Linked DNA regions of Neodiprion lecontei. Each later gene encodes a partner of the first gene's protein in a complex. Links are inferred from orthologs where the notes say so. Each region holds a gene or a part of one and is shown on either strand. Other genes may lie near its edges.

Region 1 (10,426 bases):
CTTCCATCGGTCTCCCTCTTCCGGTTCTTTCAGTCGTTTCCATCTAGAAAAAAATATTTCGGTACGATTATCGGTGATCTCAATTATCGCTCTGTATTACTTTTTGATAACAAAATATTTCGACATACCTTTCGCCCTCTTCGCCATCCTTCAAAGGCTCACGACGGTTGAATCTGTCGTCCTCGTCGCGATTATCACGCCTCTCAGGCTCGCGTCGCTTCCATCCACCTTCGACGTTGTCGTCATCCCGCCGAGTCTCAAGCTCCCGACGTTTCCATCGTTCAGGTTCGTCGCGGGATCCTTCATCCCTCGGGGCGTCGCCGCGGCGCCAGGACGAATCCATGGCTAGAAAAGAAGAAAATCCATCAGGTTTGAATAAATTTAAAAACCTTACGTAGTTTAAAAGAGATTCGGGCCCAGAATTCTACCGCATGATTTAAAAACAGTGCAAAAGTATACAGGGTGTTCCATACGCAAAAAAGATCACACACCGCTACATCGTGGAACGATGAAGACTGTTTCAAATTTTCTGCCAGTTCTTCGATCACACTTACATGGGCGCGGTGGTCCATCCAGACGAGTCGATTCCTTAATGTCACGATCCCGCGGTCCATCCCTGAAATCGCGATCACGCGGCACTTCCCTGTCTACGCCACGCCTCCAGGTGTCAGCCGACTTGGCCCTGTCCTCTTCCTGTTTCCTCTCGATTTCTGCCTCTCGTGCCCTTCGTATTTCGGCCTGCCTCTCAAGCTTGGCCATCCGTTCCTGCTCCTTGGCTTCCTCCTCTTCTCGCAATATTCTCTCCTCCTCCTCGCGCTGGAGTCTCAGTTCCTCAAGCTGTTTTCTCTCCTCCTCTTCCCTGGCTCGCTGTTCTTCGAGTCGTTTGCGCTCCGCAGCCTCGGCTCTCTCTCTCTCCCACTTGATTCTGCGCTCCTCCTTGCGTTCAATTTTCCTCTCAAGGAGTCGCCTGGCTCTTTCCTCGCGTATCATCACCTCGTAGTTGTTCAACTTCTCAAGATAAATGTTCCTACGCTCGGCTAGAATCCTTTCCAAGAACGTGTCGTGGTCCTCCTTCATCCTGGCCATGCGCTCACGCGTCTTTACCGCCTGCTGTCGCTCCTCGATCGCCGCCGCGATTCGCTCAGCCTCCTGCTGTTCCCATTGCTGTTTAGCGAGTTCGTTCTTCTCCTCGACAGCCTTCTCCAAAAGTGGAATTTCCTCGAGTCGTTTGGCTCGTTCCAAATAGTCGACCTTCTTCTCCTGGGATTTGAGCTTCTGCTGCATTTCCCTACGCTCCTTTTGAAGTTCCTCCGCTTCGCGAACCGCGATCTGTTCCGCGTCCAGCTTCTCGTCACCGTCCAACTTGGAGAGCACTCTCTGCCCGTGCTTTGTCTGCGATATCTGCTGCATCCTTTCCTTGAGGTGACGCTCTTTGATCTGCTGCATTTCGCTCTGGTATCGTTTCTTCTCTCTCTCCTCCCTCTCAAGCTCCAGTCGTTTCTGCTCAACCTGCTTCTGCTGCCGCTGGAGTTCCTCTTGCCTCCTCATCTCCTCCTCCTCCCGGACATTGTTGATGTGTTCTATGTACTCCTTTCTCTCCTCGATGATCTTGTGTCGGCCAAGAATCCTCTGATGTTCCTTCACCTTCGTCTCGTGATAATGAGCCACCAGCTGAGTTCTTAGCTTCTCCCTCTCAACCTTCTTCTTATTCGGATTAATTACCGCCACCGCACGGTGCAAAACCGTTGCCATATTTACCAGCTGGCACCGAATCTGCTCCGAAGGCATGGCTTGAAGAACTGGCCCATCGGGATGATCCTCCCTCTGAGCTTCGGAGAGATCGACCCCGAAATGTATGCATTTCTTACCGTGGTCGATCCTTATCTGCATATCGTTGTACCTGACGCAGTCTACGAGGAGTCTCTCGAGGTGAAAATCGGTCGTGAACTTGGCGAGCTCGATCAGCCGTGCAAACTGAACTGTCTGGTAGACCTGCGATATCTGACGAACAAGACGAACCAACGTGACGTCCTGTAGTGCAGGTACGTACTGAACCAACGGGCTGTTTTCATCGGCTTGTAGGCTCTGAATGATGGTCTCAACACGGGTGCACAATTCCAACGGATGGAATTCCACCTCGAGCCACGAGTAGAGGTCCTGGAGGTGCGGTGAGGCCAGATTGACAACATTCAGCCTGACGATGTCCTTCAGTAGCGAAACCCGGGTCGGTGGCTGAGTGAGACCCAACAGAACCGCCAGTCTCTGAGCCTTTTCCAGCGGACTTTTGTCCGTTTCAATGAAACGGTCGAATTCTGGATGCGCCGAAGGTAGAGGAATGGACAACGTGGCGAGGAGAACTCGGTTCGCCATGCGTTGCTGCTCTTCCAGCGACATATTCTTTTTCATCTCCCTCGAGAGTTGAAGGAGTTTGAAAAGGGCGGCGGCATGGAAAAGGTAATTACCAGCCTTCCAGAAGACCATAGCCAACTTCTGGTAGTAATTGGCCATGGTTTTGGGTACCGGAGGTTTCTTAGATAGATTCATCAGCCCGTGGATGTCCTCGATGGCTTTGTATGCCTCCTGCCACAGCTCCATCTGTATGGCGGAATCGAGCTGGTTCAGACGGGTCTCCAAGTTCAACTGCTGAGTCTCAGCTTTGTTTATCGAGACGTTTGAAACCAGTGGCGGGAGCTTGCAGATTTCTTCCAGATGCTTGCGCAGCTTTTCACAGAGCTTTCGGAACTCCGTCTTCCTGTTATACTCTAGGCAGAACTGAAATGCCATCCTTGCGATGTCGTGGTAGAGTGTCTCGACATGAGCGTTTGTCCTCAGTAATTCCAGACACTGGCAGTACGATTCCCAGAGAAATTTTACCCACGGTGTCAGGATTGTTCTGTCGCTGCGATCCTGCGCATCTTCACCGCTAACCGCAGACAGCAATATACTTTCCGGGGTCGCAAGGTTGTCCAAATCATCAATGTCGATGACCGCCTGCTGACTCTGCTTTCGCGCGGCCTCCGTCTTCTCCTCGGCCATCCGCAAATACCCGCGAATCACATTTTCCAAACTCCCGACGTTGACGGACTGGAACATGTTCCGGTACTGGAATAAACCCTCCTTTGCTATGTGAGATTTCTTCAACTCCACACAGAGGTCCAGGTACTTGAACATTATCGGCTCCAGGACCGACTCCGACCAATTGTACGTCCATTTCTTGTTCCGGAACACTTCCTGAAGGGTGTCTAGTGCCCGCGCCGGTTTTCCAACCTCGATGAACTCTGTGTTTAAGGAAAAAATATTTGCGAATTTTAGTGTCGTTATCTCGGCACGCCAACATTTGTGCGTATTCTAAAATAGGCAATTGCTTTTTGGCAGAAGCGTAGAGAAACATTTTTTCATCTGTCACTCTGATTCTTTTTTGAATAGTATTTTTCTTAAGATCACGAAGAAAACAAGTGTTCTGAAATCATTCTACATGCAATACAAAAAACCTTAATATAAATGAATTCATACAACTGCTACTGACCTGCCTAGACAAATATATAACGAATCTCAAGAAAGCCATGGACTTTAATTGATAAAGATACCATTGTAATAACGAAGATTAGATATCGCTTGGATCACAAAGCTAGCAGATACTCTACCGATATGTAACTTTGTCAATAACATAGTGAAAAGAGGTAAAAACCTGTACTTAAGAAAGAAACTTGGAGATGTTGTTGGCAGCAGCCTCAGAAAGAAATGGGAACTTACTAAAAATAATTGCTGGACTGACTAATTTGATTATACCGGAACTGCTAAAGTGAAGGAAGAAATCGCTAATAAAGTTAATGAATTTTTAGCAAAAGTGGGAAGTTCACTGGCAGAGGACAAGGATTTTCGGATTCTTAAACTCAAAAAAATTTTTCCCTGCTTCGCAATATGGTTTTCGTAAAGAAAATTCTACCGATGGGGCATCGATGGATGTAACCAACTATGTATGTATGTTAATAACCCTTAATAACTCTGACAAATGTTTGGGAATATTCGTTGATCTATCCAAAGCCATCGACTCTTTGAATCACAATATACCCTTCAACAATGAACAAGATGCTGAACTAGAAGACATAATTTATGACATATTAAAATCCTATTTCACTAATAGGAAACAGAGTAAAAGTAGACATCACAAACGATATTAAGGTAATTAATTATGGACCATCTGTTGTTTTTTAATTTCATTTTACCATGTCTGGTTAGGATTGTTGGTTGTGCCGATGATATAGTATTGTTGTATAAAGGAGATAATCGGGAAAATTGCCCTTTAACTGTCAAAGAAAACTTAAATCAAATATTAATGTGATGCGATGAAACTAAGATGATATACTTTGATTAGTACGTCGATAATGTGTGTTCAGATAAAAATTTGACACTACGCTTTGACGAAATTAATCCGAACACAAAGATCGAAATAGTTAATAGTTTGAAATATCTGGGACCGACTTTTACACTGGAATTTTAGATGGGATACATTTACATGACTGAAAAAAAAATATCCGCGAGTCGTTTACAAGACTTTGTTTCTATCGATTTGGAGTAATAGAATCTCAACCCAGAAAGGAACTTACAAGAAATGTATAAAACCACCAGAGTTTATAAACAAAATAACCATCAAAACTATTTTAAAGAAACAACGGGATAAAGACATATAAAGTCCTAGATGGCTTCAATATTAGACAGACTTATTTAGTAATTTCCACGAGGTACGTAATTGCCAAATGACTAAATAAATTTTATTTTCGTCTTGTTATACTCTGAGTGTGCGATTGTGAAGTTGTCAATTCGATTCAATTAATACAACTGTACAATTTTGTCTTATTTACAGTTTCACAAAAATATATCTTATGTCGTTCGATATACTTATCAAGGACTAAAAACAAGAGCCAATGTGCAAATCACACATAAAAATTAATTTTTATTCAGCTATAATCCTACTGTAAAGACACTCTCGCCCAAGTATCTTGGTACTTTTGAGATGCGTCTAGTCTTATATATTTTTCTTCGTTCGTTTGTTCCAGCCATAACGTAATGGACTTATGCAATAGTATACCAATATTTGATTAATCGTAGTATAATGTATATTTGTATACTTGTATTTTTGCCTGCAATAAGACTCATTATAATAACAATAATAAATCTTTATACTATGCAGCAGCCAAAGTTCGATGTCGTGGTATTGACAATGAAGTGAAAACGTGATCTTAGTGAAGTTAGTAACATTATAGTGAAAATTCATGCTGGGGAAAAACAGTTATTTCGTGATTTTGGAATTGTTTGAAATTCAGTAAACCGTAATAAAACAAAACACTCTCATATTTCGAAATCTTAGTTCCTTGAAAGTCATAGTAAAATTAAAAAAACAGTAATTTTTTCCCCAATGTTTCGTTACGATAAGGTTGTTAAATTCAATGTCGTAAAACGTGGCTCATGCATTGTAGCCGAAAAATCGATGACCGGTCTGTACGCAATTGGCCGTCGAATTGGAGCGGGTGAAACGCAGTTTGGACTAGGTTAACATGTTTTTTTCACGCCCCGGTGACGCCGTATGGATCGTGGCCATGCAGCATTTCGGGGCGGAATTGAGAACAGAAAAAGAGGGTTTAAAAATATGTGGTACTCGGATAATCTCTGGCGATCCGAAAGCATGCCTAAAGCAAATGATACGGCCAGTGACGTAACGGCGGACAACACGAAGAGCGGAAAACAGGGAAAATAGAGGAATTGAATTGGAGATCAAAGAGGGCGGTTTTAGGTACTGACAGGTGACATTGCCGCGATTTGGACCCGGTGGAATTTCATGGGATGAAAAACACGCGAGGATCGCTGATTCACCGAAGGAAAGATACCGAATACGAAGAGCCGTGAGGGTGAAAACCTTGGTTGATGAGAACCGGGGCCCTCGACCCTGCCATATTGAAAAACGTCAGCGAAAGAAAAGCGACTCACCGTTGGCTCTTTTCAGAGCATTTTCGGGTCGCTGCCCGTATCTTGCCATCTTGTTTGTTGCCGAGTATCACTGGTTTCACATCAGACACGTTGTGAAAATTTTCAGTACTCGGAAGACCGGGATCGCCTTGAGTTTTTCCCTCCGCGAATCGTCCAACTACGGACACGATACCGCGTGTTCTGGTGAAAGAACAAGCTCAATATCACGACCGTTTATATGTAAAAATGGTGAATCGGTTGTAAACGCGTTTTCCAGGCTGAAATTCCTGATTTTAAATTTGAAAATTTAACAAAAATATATTTCCAGTAATAAAACTTGTCGTACTATAATATTGTCTGACTGTGAAAAAACCTCAACAACTCACGTAGTACCCACGTGGAACAAGATGGCGCCAGCAATGGAGCTGCTTTCCTGCGGCATAATCGGTAATTTCGATCGATTATTTACGAAAAAAACTTCCAATTGCATCGTTTGCATCGTTGCCGAACGATTCGTTAACGCATTCACCCTATATGCATCGTATATTTCGCCCCATGAGCTCTTAGCTCAGTATTTTGACTTTGGCTCAATGGTTAGTTGGTCACGGGATTTTCCGTAACGTGAAGTCCACCGCTTTTTGCCTCACGTATATTACCTACCGCATCGGTAAGAGAGATGGAACCCAACAGCGGCTAACTTCACTCTACTGCCATTAGCGAGTTTGTGCGTCGAAGCGGCGTGGTAATTTCGAATAACGTTTCGATTTCGGCGCCGAATTGCGAATGGAAATATTGATTGACAGACCAAAGTAAAAACGGTGTCAATAATTTCAGAAAAGGATTGCAACGGTGATGTTCTGTGGACTTGGAACTACCCCGACGTTACAGAATCGCAAAAAGTTTTGGTGCTCAGAAAATCTTCCCTACAATCTGAGCACAATGATATTTTACCCTTCGTCTATGCCAGACACTCTCACAACTCCTGGTTCTATATTCAATGCACCGAAGTTTCCGACTCCGATAATTTACCCAGGGCAAGATATTTTGTTAATTACTATTGTCATTTCAATATTTTTGATTTTGATTAAAAGTTTTGATTTACTTGTCTCTTAGAGTGATCAGAAAAAGAATTTCCCTATTTTTTCGCAGCATTTCTAGGGAAACTGTGAAAGATAATTTCTTCGTTCATTTCCTACAGGTAAAACAGTTTGCGCTTGTTTTATTCGCGACAGATTTCAATCCACCAAAATACGAGGCACTGTGCCGTGTCTTGAGCAAAATGTACTGTAGGACTGGAAGTCCAACAGAGTTGCTGCAGCTCTATTTATCCGTATTCACCAAAGGCTCTTGCGCAACTCAAGATAACGGAACGTTTGTTTGCAATGAATACAGCGATCGAAAAGTTGCCAGTAACAGCACCAACCTCAGAGGCTTGATAAAGACTTTTGAGCTGAAGACAATTCTTATATACACAGCGATATTGCTGAAGAAACGGATAATAGTCTACCACCACAGCCTTGAACAGCTTCTTAGATGGATACGGACCTTCCCTGCTTTTATGAAACACAGAAATGTTACCGAATATTTATTTCCATGGGTCGACCTGGTTAAAGATGAGATACTGGAGCTTAAGGTTTATTTCTCCTCATGGAACTTTGAAATTTAGCCCGTTTGTTGTCTCATACATTGGCCATTATTAAATATCTTTGCTTGGATATTTCAGGGTCATTCTTCGTATATCGCAGGGTGCAGGGATAGTCTAGTCGCTTCACGGGCTGAGCTTTACGATCTACTCGTGAATTTACCTGCAAGAGAAATCACTATTGCGTCACACGCAAAAGGTATTACAAAATTGCTATAATTTGCATAACCATTTTCACAGTGTATTGGTACAAGCCACTCTTCGAGACAGAAGATTTACCGCTCGTCAACTTTTTTCAGATTATTCATCCAATATCTTTACTCCCTTTTCGTGAAAAAATTTTACGAAACGCTTGACCGCAAGTATATCATAAACACGCAATCCTTAACATCCATGTGATTTTTTTTTTCCAGAAAGTCTAACGATGACAAAGACGCACAAGGAAATAGCCTTGTTCATGGTCCAGCTCGGAGATAATCCATCTTACTCAGAGGTGCAAATAACATCAGAGATCTCAGATAAAACACAAGATCTTTTGAATCAGTTAAAATCGTTGGCAAGTTTAACAACGCCTGAAGGTAGAAAAATGGTATCCATCGAAACGTTTAAAGAGAAAAACTTAGCCCCTGCAGTCGAGAACTTTCTCATCAATTTAGCAATCGCCGAAAACCTAATCATGCTGTGATCTCTTACACACACAAAATATGTTCTTATTTTGTTCCGAGTCCTCTTACAAGTAGAGGTTTCCATTGGAATAAGGTGAGCGAATGTTACATCACTTGTTCAGTTGTTAATTTATGTAGTTAATCGTGGATGCGTGGCTCTTTGATTTTCATTTTCTTGAAAATCTCAGGGATAAGGTAAAAAAAAACAGGATCTTGCGTAAATTATTATGAATTACGATTTATTTAGGCAGGTGCTAGTGATAAGTGCATTTACAATATTTGACAGATGAATAGTGTAAATCATTGTGATTTTTAATGCTAAATACCTTAATCAATATATATTCAAATAAAACTACTTCCTAAATCATAAATAATTATGAATGATTATGGGGTTCGCACAGATTTCTCCGTTATAGCAGTTGAATGTTACTTTTAAAACTTGCAACAAATACGTATTCATCGGCTAAAGACATTTAAAGAGTATCAGATGTAACTTAAATTTATTCCACACTGAGGCATGCTTAACGTTCGTGAGAAGAACTTCAGGTACCTTATAATAATGATTGGAGGAAACAGGAGCAAAGCAGTTGTTTTCTTCATTTTACAGACAAATAAATATGTAAAGACATTAAAATTTCTAGTTCGTGTGCGCCCTTCGATTTATTTCATGCATGATATCTATTTGGTAATATCCTCGTCGGGTTGAATACTTATTTACAATTCTGTACAGATCTTCACTATCACTAACCAGTCAAACTAATCACATGAGCAACTACAAATAATTTCCAATCTGTTGACCAGAAAGTGCTAAACGCTTTTCCAACAGCAGATTGCTCTTTGACTGTCTGGCGCGTTTCCAAACGGCATCGAACCATCGGGCGCAATGTATTTGTTGACTTGGTAGTCATGTAAGACTTCATAGTTGTAGATATCAGTACCCAGTTGCTGTAAAGACGACTTGATAAATTAGTTTTATATTTGGCAAGTAAAAAAAAATGTTATTTTCGACATTCTTATAACGTTTTTCCCAAAATTTCTAGATACAGAGAAAGCCAATTACCTGTGTGAGCGGGCTGGTGTTTGTTGTAAATATGCCAGCGAAGCCCTTCTGCCTGGCGACTCTGAGCACATGTTCCTCCATCTCCCTCATAAGAGCGATATTCTCAGCTGAAGTGAGACTGCTGTTGGTTCCCATCATAAAACAGTGCAAAATTTGTCCCTTCCCCTTGGGCAGCTGTCCCTCTCGGATTGGCCCCTCAAGGTACTCCAAAAACTCAAATATTACTGTCAGTTTTGAATTTATCGTAACCTCAGGCTCGTCTCTCGCGTCGAAATTCAACGCGACGCTTAGCGCCTCGCCTGACGTGGATTTCACTATGAAACTTAATCCTTTCTCTACCAGAGGATCCCAAAGCTTGTGCATCAGATCTGAGTAATCTTCTCTGGTAATGTCAGGCATCAACCACTTCTCCAGGTCAGCTTTCGAGTAAAAACTGTCCGTGATCATCCTGTAGTTGAGACGTTAGCAAAGATAAGGTTTATTCCAAAAGAATCCTATCGTTAAGCAGCTTTTCGATCAATACTATCGAAGTGTATACTCACTCGACAACGTCTTCTTTGTGGGAATTATTGAGCTCCTCAAAAACGTACTGCTCTCCGTTGGCAGAGCCATCGGTGTCGGAATCTGAGTCGACATTCATCCTCTGCAGTATATCCCCCATGTTCTTTGCGCTTATGAAGTCAGTTATTCCAATCTGGTAGCCCTGGTCGCGAAGTCTGGTAACGGTGTAGATCGAATTCAGAGAGTTTCCTCCCAGCTCGTAAAAGTTAGCGTCGATGGTCACTGCTGCTCGAGCGCTACGTCCGACCACTGATGCTACCGTGGGAAAGAGGACTTGAGCTGCAGGGAGAAGAGACAGCGGGACATTTTCGTAGTTGCAATCGACGGCGATTTCCTCTTCTGCAAAATAAAATGAAGAAGAAGTTTGGAAAAAAGTAAAGTAGGGATTTAGCTTCTTGTATTTTATCATTGTTTCTCACTCACTGTTGCTCATCAATTCGTATTGCATCAGCAGTGTCTGTCTGTCAGTCTTTCCATTCACCAATAGAGGAATGGAATCAATCACTATCACTTGCGGTATCATGTAAGGCGGTA
Region 2 (11,051 bases), on another chromosome or scaffold:
AAAGTCCATCGCATGTTTCGCTTCAATGTTAGTTTGAAAAACTCCGTAAATCATAACGTGCAAAGCGGTCAAAATCCAAGGGGAAACAAAATTTACAAGCAAAACGAGTTCGATCAATCGACCTGTGTTCGTGGCGTTAGAACCTGTCAAGCACCAAAGTTCATTACTGTCAGGCCTGGAATATTCAAAATACCTCAACACTTATGGGATGTCGTATTGCGCCTAGAAAATGATAAAATACCTTTTCGGAGCGGCATTGTGGCGATAGAAGAAACCGTGCCTTGCTTATTCGAAGATTTGACGTTTCAAAATTACAGAGATCGATTTCATGCTCTGTTGTACTTGGAAAGCATAGCTGATTCTATAGCTTTACAACGATACGACATAAGCAGTACAGTCATGAGATTTTGCGGAGAATTTCTCGCCCTTGAAGTGCCAGGACTAGCGGAAAAACGACCATCGCTCTTAGTCGGAGACAAAGCCATAGTTTCTTTCAATTGGGACTCCAGCAAAGGTGAATTATGAGCAGTTCTCACAACTTTTAACTTCGTCGACTCCTGACAGAGGAAGTTTCTACTCTTGTCATTGAAACTGATGCTTTTATCCTTATTTTTCATAGGTGAAATAAAGTACGAGGGATGCATTCACGAGGTAAAGAACTCGGAGATTTTACTCAAGTTCAATCCAGCTTTCCATGAAAAATATAACGGCGAACGATGCGAAGTGACATTCAAGTGCTCCCAAACACCGTCGAGTCGCTGTCACACGGCCGTTAACTTGGCGATAAATCATCTGGGAAAAGAATTTTTATTTCCTACAAAAATTGTACCCAAACCACCGCAACTGGAACTTTTGGAAATGAGTGACGATGGAGAATCCAGAAACAGTACGTTTGCACGACAAAATGATGTTACTCCAGGCCTGCAACCGAATGCGCAGGCATGTTCGAAGACTGGAGACACTGATTCGTGCGTTTTACAAATAAAAAAACGCAAATTAGTATGGTTCAACAGGGCGTTGAATTACTACCAGAAAGAGGCTGTGCGTAACGTTTTGCAGAGTCCAGCTCACCCGTTGCCTTACGTCATATTTGGGCCACCAGGAACAGGGAAAACGATAACTCTTTGCGAAACGATATTGCAGATATTTAGGACCATACCCGAAAGCAGACTGTTGGTTGCGACGCCTTCGAATAGTTCAGCCAATCTAATATCGGAAAGACTTTTAGACAGCGGAGTTTTGAAACCGGGCGATTTGGTCAGATTGATAGGGTTTCACTGCACCACAGATGGGTCAATTCCGCAGAAACTAATCCCGTATTGCGCTGTAGGTGACTTGGCTCGAGAGGGAACTCGAAATACTCCTGACCACAATGCCAACGGCATAAGACCGAGCTGCAGTGCAAGTGTTTTGGGACGGCACAGAATCACAGTCGGTACTTGCATCTCATTGGGCATACTGCATAACATGGGCTTTCCTCGAGGTCACTTCACCCACGTTTTTGTTGACGAAGCTGGACAAGCTACAGAGCCGGAAATATTAGTGCCATTAAATTTCATTCATGCCGATACCGGGCATGTAATTTTGGCTGGAGACCCAATGCAGCTTGGACCTGTCGTCCAAAGTAAATACGCATCGCATTTTGGACTTGGGTTGTCTTTTCTGTCTCGGTTGCTTCAGCGCTTCCCTTACCAACGAGACTTGGAAGGATTTGAGAGGGGCTACGATCCACGACTAGTTACTAAACTCATCATGAACTATCGCAGCTTGCCGGAAATTCTCGCACTTCCGAATTCGTTATTCTATGATTCTGAGCTCGAGGCGCAGGTAATAATCTTTAGCTCTCTTGGTTGAATGATAATTAATGATCGTTTGTCAAATCTCTAGATTACAAGGCAAGGAAAAGAAGGTGACCTGCTCACTTCAGTCGCTAACGATTTACCTGAACGCGACGATTTTCCACCTGCGATAGTTTTCCATGGCGTTCTCGGCGAGAATTATCAGGATCAAGATAGTCCAAGCTGGTATAATCCGGAAGAAGCTGCTCAGGCTTACTTTTATATACTAAAACTTTACAGCCACGGACTTGGCCCTGACGATATTGGGATTATAGCACCTTACACTAAACAAGTAAGATTCTGAAACGTTTCAATTTCGGATTAATTATACAGAGTGCAAAAATTTGGTTCTATTTCATTTTTATATTTTCTCCAGGCTCGTCATATTCGGGATTTACTTGCAGAGATGAATACAACATTGCCAAAAGTTGGCAGTGTGGAAGAGTTTCAAGGACAAGAACGAAATGTTATTATTCTATCTGCAGTCAGATCGATAAGCGATCTAGTCCAAGAAGATGTTAAACGATGTCTTGGTTTTATCGCTTCTCCACACCGTTTGAATGTCGCTATTACCAGGGCTCGGGCACTATTAATTATTCTGGGAAATCCACATTTATTATCACAAGATCCTTACTGGAGAACAGTGATTACGTATTGTATTGACAAGAATTCTTACACTGGCTGTGATTTCTTTTCATCAGCGATTATCAATGAGTAGTGCTGATGAATATTTTTTTTTAACTGTAATCATTGCATCTATGATTTATTGTACACAGGATAAAGAATATGTTCCTAAAAGTTATTTAGATACGTTAGTTACAATAGTGCTATTTAAATATATAATTTTTAATTTTTTAAAGTGAACGATAAATTTTCAAATTGTTTTTTTTTTATCGAACTTTACTTCCAAACAACTGGAACTAGAGATTAAATATTCAGAGATAAGTCAAAAGTTTTAAGACTGTTCCGCTTTGCGAAAATTGGAGACTTTTTCATCCGACCAGCTCAACGGGAATGTTTTAATTATTTACTGGTTTTTTTTTTTTTTTTAATCTTTCTCATGCATCAGGCGTATAAGGAGATAACGTAACTTTCAAAGTATTCAAACTAGTATTCATGAGAATAACAAATATGAAGATATAAATTTCATACTACAGATAATAAAAATATTAACTATATTTAATAAATCCAAAAGTCTATTCGTTACAACGTTTTTTCTTGTCTACTTTCTGCGAGATACCATTTTTTATACAAGAATATTTTGTATTTTTGGCATATGAAATAATAAATTTTGACAAATTATATTTCTTTCTAAGTTTATATGAAATATTTTTTATCATTTTGAAAATAATTTTTCGATTATTCCTATAAACCGTACGAATACCAAGGGGCTAATCGTCAAATTGAATTCTTTTCATTAGAATCAGTTTATTGATTTCACGTATGTACTGCTTACAACGAAATTGACTTGACATGGTGATCTTAAATGACTGTAGAAAAACGGTACACATCCGGTGGAAGTTTGTTACAAAATTCTTCGTTTTTCGTCTGAACATCGTTATCCTGATTATAAAATGTTTAAAATGGTGGAAATCTTTATACATTGTAGAACCTGAAATGAATAGAGCATGGTCAAATAACATTTTCTATAACATATCGTATTTTTGCACGTTTAAACTCATCTGAAAGAACCAATACATACCTTTGCTAATTCCAGACTATGCTAACTGAATCCTGATTTTTCGCCTTCAATTTCCGCTCAATAAGATTCTCCAGAGCTTCACTTCGCACGCTCAGAGTCTCGATTTTTTCAACCAGCTGTTGGTACGGAGAAGCTGGCTGTCCACCCATAACAACATGTCCCAGCTTACTGTCAATCTTTGCGTCCAATCTTGCATTGCGAATTAGATTGACTATCCAACATTCCGCAACATCAGCTTTCATATTAAGTTTTTCAGCCAACATACTAAAAGAGCATAAAAATTAGCTGGCATCCAATCATCTCCACGAAAAATTACAAAATTAGAATGTCCTACAAAGTAGGCCAATACTTACTCAATACTGATGCATTGGTGGATTCTGCAGAATGTTTCGAATATCATTAATCTAGCGTTTTCGACAAACTCATTCAGCAGAGCAATTAAGAAGAAGTCATTGAAGACGACTGTCTGACATTCTTGCAGTTTCTGACGAGCTCCATCAAAATCAAAGTTCACATACAGGTGCTCCAAAAATTCAGTGATTGGATCCCGATACGTGTAGGATTCCTAAACGTGAAAATTATACCGGAATTATCAAACACTGCAGATCAAGATTTCGTAACTGAATTTACCTGTTGGATAACTTTCACCAGATCTTTCAGGGTAGACCGCCTCGATCGATTTATGATTACCGCTGTTGCCAAATAGCGTAGAATATGCGGACACATTGTCTGTATTGCGTTCAAGTAGCTGTAATCCAAAAGGCTCTGTTTTGTCACCCACTCAACACCAGAATTGACGAATGAGTAGGAAAATTATACAAGATGAAACAAAATTGCGTCAAAAATCTTCTTCATCAACGAATCGATAAACAATATAATGTAAATTCTATTCTTAGACAAAATCGGGAGTGTTTGTACTCACTGTGGTCTGTACAAGAACATTTCAATGATAAGGTCCCTGCCTTTAACATGATTGAAGAAAACGAACAGACTCCAGTGAATGAGCCAAGTGCGTTGTTGAAGAACCTGAAGAGTGTTGCCAATAGCGTTACTGTCTATGTACTCTCTGAGTTTATTAACGTCTTCCAGCGCGGTTTCCCAATTTTGAACTAAGATTTCTGACGCCAATTTTCCCCACAGGACATCCAAGTAGTTCTGTTGAACAGAAAATAGTCACGTTTAAAAAAGTAAGTCACATGACACCATGAATTATTATGTAACCTTAGCGCAAATAAGTCTATAAAATTTGAAGAATATTTACTCTATCGGTTGGTGGCATCACAAGCATGTAGAAGTACAAGTACGACGTTGAAACCGAGTAGGTTCCGCACTCATAACGATACTTTGCCAACTTGACCAAGCTCTCCATCATCTCCACTCTGAACTGTAATTTTTATCGCATCATTAAAGTGTTAGAACATAAGACAACAATAAATTCTAAAAAATCCAAAACCCTAAATTCAGGATAACTCCAGCAATATTTTTCTTCCTTGTAAGCCGTCAACAATTCATTATTCCCATTCGATAAAAAAAAAAAAATTTCATGCTTTCGATACTTCAAGAAGTGTATGCTGTTATTGCATACACGTGAAAAATTGATAAACATATCTCAATACTTCAGACAATATATAAATATAGAATTACATCTGATTCCTTAAGGAGAAAGTGGTTGAGGGACTTCGAGTCCCTCATTTTTTCCATAGTTTCCATAGTATCATCATCGCTCATCAATTTCAAGATGACTGAGGCATTATCTTCAAGATCACCAAGCTCTTGCAATACCCGATTACGGCGTTCGTTAAGTTCCTGTAAAAATATTAAATCTTAAAAATTTTCACCAAACCATGGGAGATGGAAAGCATTTTATCCTTATCGACGGTTCGATTGTTAATTATCATTAACGAAACCTGAACCATTGGTCGACATAATCGCCTACCTCCGGCACTTCGAAATTCGGATAAAGTTGTTTCCTGATATCGATGGCGTAATCGATCATGTTGGTTTTGCTCAGGATGTCCAATTTCGCCTGTAGAAGCTCATTCTCGTCATAAATCTGTAATGGCGATTCAACGTCGCGTTATTCATCGATAACCTAAAAACCGCCATGCTCAACAACCTGATGACAGTCAATCAAGCTGGCAGAGAATCACTCACCTCCTTTGCAGATAGAAATTCCAACAGCGGGAATACCAGATGCCGATCAAGGTATTGCCCTATTCGGGCCGTCAGATCAAACTTCGCCATATTATTTTTGATCAACAAAATAATAGTAGCGAATATTAAACGGCACCTTTACACCACAGAGAAGAAACCGGGAATATTGAGGATCACGCACCTCTTGTGCATGCCCTAAAAAAGGAAAGAGGCACAAACTAACGCGTTTCAATATCGGAAACACGACTCCCATTTTCGGCCTCGACTAATTTCAGCTTATGCCGCCAAATAGCGTTTGTAAAATTAAACTTTTTGAAAATAAAATATTCTCTGCACCAATTGGCCAATTTTAACGGATTGAAAAAGGATAAGGTTCACAATTTTTTTTTCTCATTTTACATCTGTTTTAGGTGTATTCCATTCGACCGAAAGTGGTCAGACAATTTAAACTTACACCTGACCTCGCATGTAGGGAAATCCTGTAAACATTTGATCATATTGCGCGTCGCTTACGTGGTATTTTCACCCGGCCATTGAGAGCATATATAAAATAGAGCGTAAACAACGGCGTAAGCGTCTCATGAGCAGATTTAAATTGGTTCTCTGAAGGACAGAAGATAATAATTCTCCCCCCCCCCCCCCCTCTCTGTCACTCTGCCAAGCTGCTACCCCCACTTCACGGGAAAAGAAACAGAGCGCAAAGGGGGGTATCATATGTCCTGCAGAGAACTGATTCAAATCCGTTTCTTCTGAACGCCGTGCGGCATCAGTTGCTTCCGAACAACCAGAGAGAAGTTATGTGCTCTCAGTATCAGATCGAAATTCAGACCGCGTTGTTCAGGTTGTGTCACGTTGTTCGATCAGTGTACTCGCACCATACTCATTTTTAATATTACACGAGGAGCAGTGCATAGCCTGAAGAAAAACCGAGTTATTGAAATAAATACATTCTACGAACGTTGAAGGTGAATTTCGTGTCCCAATTTTTCATTGTTTGGTGTAACTTCAGCGAGTGATACCGATTCTTCTCTTTCTGTGTCGGTCGGTGTTGTTTTTATTTTCGGTTCACTTGTTTCTGATAAATGCGTAGTTGCACTGTTGACATGTTTTCGCTATTCAATTGATCAGGTAGCTAGCTACAGCACAGAAAGTCAGAGTGAATGTAGAATCAAGTGTTATTACGGTGCAGATTCTTAGATTATAGCTTTATAAAGTTTTCAGTGTAAAATGTGCGGTGTTCCACTGTTCAGCCTGAGATGCTGCCAGAACTACAACATGTAAAGTGTGGAGCAGCCCAGAGGAGGTAACAATACTTCTTTTATTCATTGTTTGATAATTCAGGGTGGTATGTATGTACATTCGAAGCCGAAATTTTGTCCTTGCGTAACATACAGTCGATAAATAATTAAGCTGAAGCTACCACCCAATGTTAGTAGTCAAATGTGTTAAATTTTTTGGAGATAGAAAAATGCGGTACTGTTTTATCCTAATAATTATATAAAAGTATCGGGGATTCGAGGTATTTCACAAAATTTTGATTTTCGGATTTCACTACCTTATGCGAATAAACACGAGAACGTTTGGCTGTTAATTCTGGCTGACGGCTTCAGTCTTGTCAATAAATATGGTTGTAGACACCAGTAATAATTGATTTGACAACTGAAAAGCCAACTTGCTAAATTAATTCGAGTTTTCTTTTTTGTTTATTCCAGATTTAAGCAGAGACATCCGAGTAACTTCTCCATTGCTCGGCAACGTTGGTGAGTTTGCATGTGTCAGGTTACGGGTATTTCCCTGGGATTCCTCTGTCACGTGGCGTGGCGGTAACAACTGTTACACAAATCTACGATTTTTTAGCTGCATGGATAGGCTCATTCACGATCGCAACGTGCTTGACTTTCAGTCGAATAATTTCTTTATTCGCAATTTAATTTACCGTAGCTTAATTGAAGTTAGAAATTTTGCACGTTGCTAAAAGTGGAATGAGCATCGCGACAGGTAACCATCGCTTACTCGGCACTCGCGAGATCGAATTGTGTTTCGCAACTGATGTAATAATCTACGTTTGAATTTACCGATGATGTCGTTTAAGCGGTGGCATCACCTGAGATTTGAATATATTCCAGGTATTGGTTAATCGTACTCATATGATTGTTTGATTGATAAAATTCCAAAGTCTGGCATAATGTAACTTAATCAAACTGCCTGTTATGTCTCGAATCATTTGTAACTTTTTTACGGCCAGCAAGTATTGATCAATTGAAGGTTTAGCTCGTTTAGAAAAATACGAATTAACGTACAGGATGTTTCTAATCCATCTTACAAAAGGTTGATGTACCGATAGTCTGCCAAAATTTACTAAGATAATACATACAATTTTACGGTTGGCGGGATACAACCGCGATACTTCATTCTGACGATGAGTAAGCAGACTACGATACAAAAACATTTTGCTCCGAACAGGTAACCAACGAAAATGTAAGTCAGCGACCACGGCGCAAATGATGAAGAATGATGTGTGTTGGAAAAAATGGAGAATCGTTTAGATCGAATATAGGTAACCGGGTAGGTAGGTGGACGTTTTGGGATCCGTCGCGGGGCTTATGCATGTGTGTGTGAGTCTCTCTTTTCCGTTGGGTGGTTCCGTTGGGAAACGGGTAAGGGTAGGAAGGTCGCGATGTACCGTGATGTTACTAACTTTTGTAATTCACAGCGTCAAACGATCACAGAGATTTTTTTGCTCAAAGACTCCGTATTCGAGTCTCTGGGCCATTTTTAAGCATGTGAATTTTAACAAGATTAAATTTACATTTCCTTGTCACTCTGCAACCATTTTTCAATTGTTATTCAATTCAATTATTTGGTCATTACCGATCATTATTCCATTCAATTGATTTCTGTGATCGTCTGAATGGGCAAAACGCATCTCTGGACCATCTATCGCGTTCCGTGGTACGCTAGATGGGGAGAGATGCTGAGCTCGAAGTCTTCGCGTCGAAGAGGACCACCGACCGTCACGCCACACAATAATGCATGCCCTCCAACCTCTCTCCGAATTTCGATTCGATTTTTAATCTGAGAACAACAATCTGCATAGCAATGTATCTAATGCAAAAAGATACAGATGTGGATTGGGTTTCCACAGAATTTTTGGGACAAGTCCCAGATATTACAAATTTTTGACAGTTTAACCTGTCGCGCCTTATTGCGCGTAGGTTAATCCCGAGAATTAGACGCAGCCTTTTGCGCGTAAACTAAGAACGGAAATCCAACGCGCCTTTTTGCGCGTCGAGCTTGCAAACAGTATATAAAAAAGTTACACACTCCCGATGTGCTGATCTTTCAGCTCTTTGGTCAATTTTTTGATGAATAATAAACTTTTCAAGTTCCACAGCGCCTTTTGCGCGTGGACTTGATACCTTTCAGTTATAAAATAAAGCGCAGCATTTGAAAGCCGACGCTCAACGCGCAGAAAAAAAAAATCTCGGTAGTGTAGACTTATACAGTGGAGATTCTTGGCGTAAGTATTTATGAAATATATCTGAAGTGTACAGAAATACTCGTTTAACTGATCGTATTATTTTCTGTTTCAGGGTAACAAAACTAATTTTTTAACAAATGCACTGAGAACTATAGAATGTTCAGTCAAAAAAGATATTCACTTTAATAAATCAAAGCAGAAAGAGATGTCAATTCAAACAATTTAGAATGTCTGTTCAATACAATTAATAATCGAAGCAACGAATATTAAAGCGAATATCATGTTGGGCTCGACCCATTTTTTGGCAATATATGGACTTATGTGATTGTGCTAACCATACCTTTGTCTGTTTCAGCTAATCAAACCTTTTGTCTGTTTCAGCTAATGAAACCTTTTATCTATTTCAGATAATCGAACCTTCTGTCTATTTCAGCTAATCCATATTTTTGTCTGTTTCAGCTAATCAAACCTGTTACCTGTTTCAGATAACTGAATCTTCTGTCTCTTTCAGCTAATCAATCTTTTTGTCTGTTTCAGCTTATCTAACCTTTTGTCTGTTTCAGCTAATCAAATATTCTGCCTCTTTCAGCTAATCAATCTTTTTGTCTGTTTCAGCTTATCTAACCTTTTGTCTGTTTCAGCTAATCAAATATTCTGCCTCTTTCAGCTAATCAATCTTTTTGTCTGTTTCAGCTTATCTAACCTTTTGTCTGTTTCAGCTAATCAAATATACTGCCTCTTTCAGCTAATCAATCTTTTTGTCTATTTCAGCTTATCTAACCTTTTGTATGTTTCAGCTAATCAAATATTCTGCCTCTTTTAGCTAATCAAACCTTTTATCTGTTTCAGCTAATCGAATCTTCTGTCTGTTTCAGCCCGTCAATCTTTTTGTCTGTTTCAGCTAATTAATTTGTCTTTATATTTTTTACTTATCTAAGTTAATTATATTTTTGTCTATATCTACATATGTCACTAATTATATTTTCATCTGTTCCAGCTAACTGAGTTTTATTGACTATACTAAAAAATTAACTTTTCATTTTTTAGGCTTAGATCTGGTTTAGTGGTTAATTGTTTTGCGAATTGACCTCGTTCTCCATTTTAGTGATTATCTCATACCTCATAAGAAACAAAAACCTGCGCACGAATATCCATAGTCAATCATCCTTCATCCATAACTAAAACAATCATCTTTCATCCATAATTAAAACAGTCATCTTTCATCAATAATCAATACTCATCGGGTTATATGGATTGAAAAATTTCGAATAAAGTGTGAATATATGCGAGTACATTCAACTAAAAAAGTTGGATGCGAGTACAAAGTAATTGGGAAAAATAATTTACTATAATTAACATGTGAAAAAAAGTCATTCGCAATTTTTCAAAGAACATAAAATCGATCTTGCAAGTATTCTCCGTGGAATAGGCCTACTGGGGATACCACGTAAAAAAAAAACGCGCCGAGTACCCTACTGCTTGCGGTGGTGTGGAAACGAGCATAAGTGAACTTATTTTAACTGGTCAGATACTAACATATTGTAGTTTTTCAAATGACAATTTTAATCTTGCGTGAATTTAACTCATTGCCAATAAAACTCATGCTCCGATAATGTCTTAACGCATGTGGAGTCGTAATATCTTCGGATTGCTGTAGTTTAGTCAGAGTGAATACACGCGTAAATACATTCTGTTTGTTAAATTTCGTTTTTTAATGAAAGTCAACAAGGTGCACATACCTTTGGCAATTGATTGGCAATTCAAACATCTTTCTCCCTCGCTTGACCTTTCGCAGTTGACACAGTAAAATCGCTAAATTGTAAAATTTAAAAGTTTTACTCCTTACTCATTGAACAACTCGACTTTTCGAAAAAGT

What was found.
Region 2: eukaryotic translation initiation factor 3 subunit A (region 1) and eukaryotic translation initiation factor 3 subunit E share a complex: the UniProt entries of both Drosophila melanogaster proteins name them as parts of the eukaryotic translation initiation factor 3 (eIF-3) complex. The link is inferred for Neodiprion lecontei from reciprocal best matches to the Drosophila melanogaster genes eIF3a and eIF3e.

Annotation. Positions count from the first base shown.
Region 1 is NC_060262.1:4,540,744-4,551,169, reverse strand, and holds the start of eukaryotic translation initiation factor 3 subunit A, read right to left. Parts: upstream 6,183-10,426; 5' UTR 6,035-6,182; coding exon 5,986-6,034; intron 3,279-5,985; coding exon 555-3,278; intron 346-554; coding exon 129-345; intron 44-128; coding exon 1-43. Other genes in the region: putative DENN domain-containing protein 10 B, read left to right, coding at 6,372-6,411, 6,799-6,998, 7,163-7,597, 7,688-7,805, 8,020-8,291; mycosubtilin synthase subunit C, read right to left, coding at 9,079-9,216, 9,332-9,779, 9,874-10,231, 10,316-10,426. UniProt on the Drosophila melanogaster protein: RNA-binding component of the eukaryotic translation initiation factor 3 (eIF-3) complex, which is involved in protein synthesis of a specialized repertoire of mRNAs and, together with other initiation factors, stimulates binding of mRNA and methionyl-tRNAi to the 40S ribosome.
Region 2 is NC_060266.1:21,379,078-21,390,128, forward strand, and holds eukaryotic translation initiation factor 3 subunit E, read right to left. Parts: upstream 5,902-11,051; 5' UTR 5,785-5,901; coding exon 5,695-5,784; intron 5,594-5,694; coding exon 5,477-5,593; intron 5,347-5,476; coding exon 5,185-5,346; intron 4,925-5,184; coding exon 4,802-4,924; intron 4,696-4,801; coding exon 4,463-4,695; intron 4,289-4,462; coding exon 4,171-4,288; intron 4,106-4,170; coding exon 3,894-4,105; intron 3,805-3,893; coding exon 3,546-3,804; 3' UTR 3,541-3,545; intron 3,451-3,540; 3' UTR 2,757-3,450; downstream 1-2,756. Other genes in the region: probable RNA helicase armi, read left to right, coding at 1-514, 620-1,827, 1,888-2,130, 2,215-2,556. UniProt on the Drosophila melanogaster protein: Component of the eukaryotic translation initiation factor 3 (eIF-3) complex, which is involved in protein synthesis of a specialized repertoire of mRNAs and, together with other initiation factors, stimulates binding of mRNA and methionyl-tRNAi to the 40S ribosome.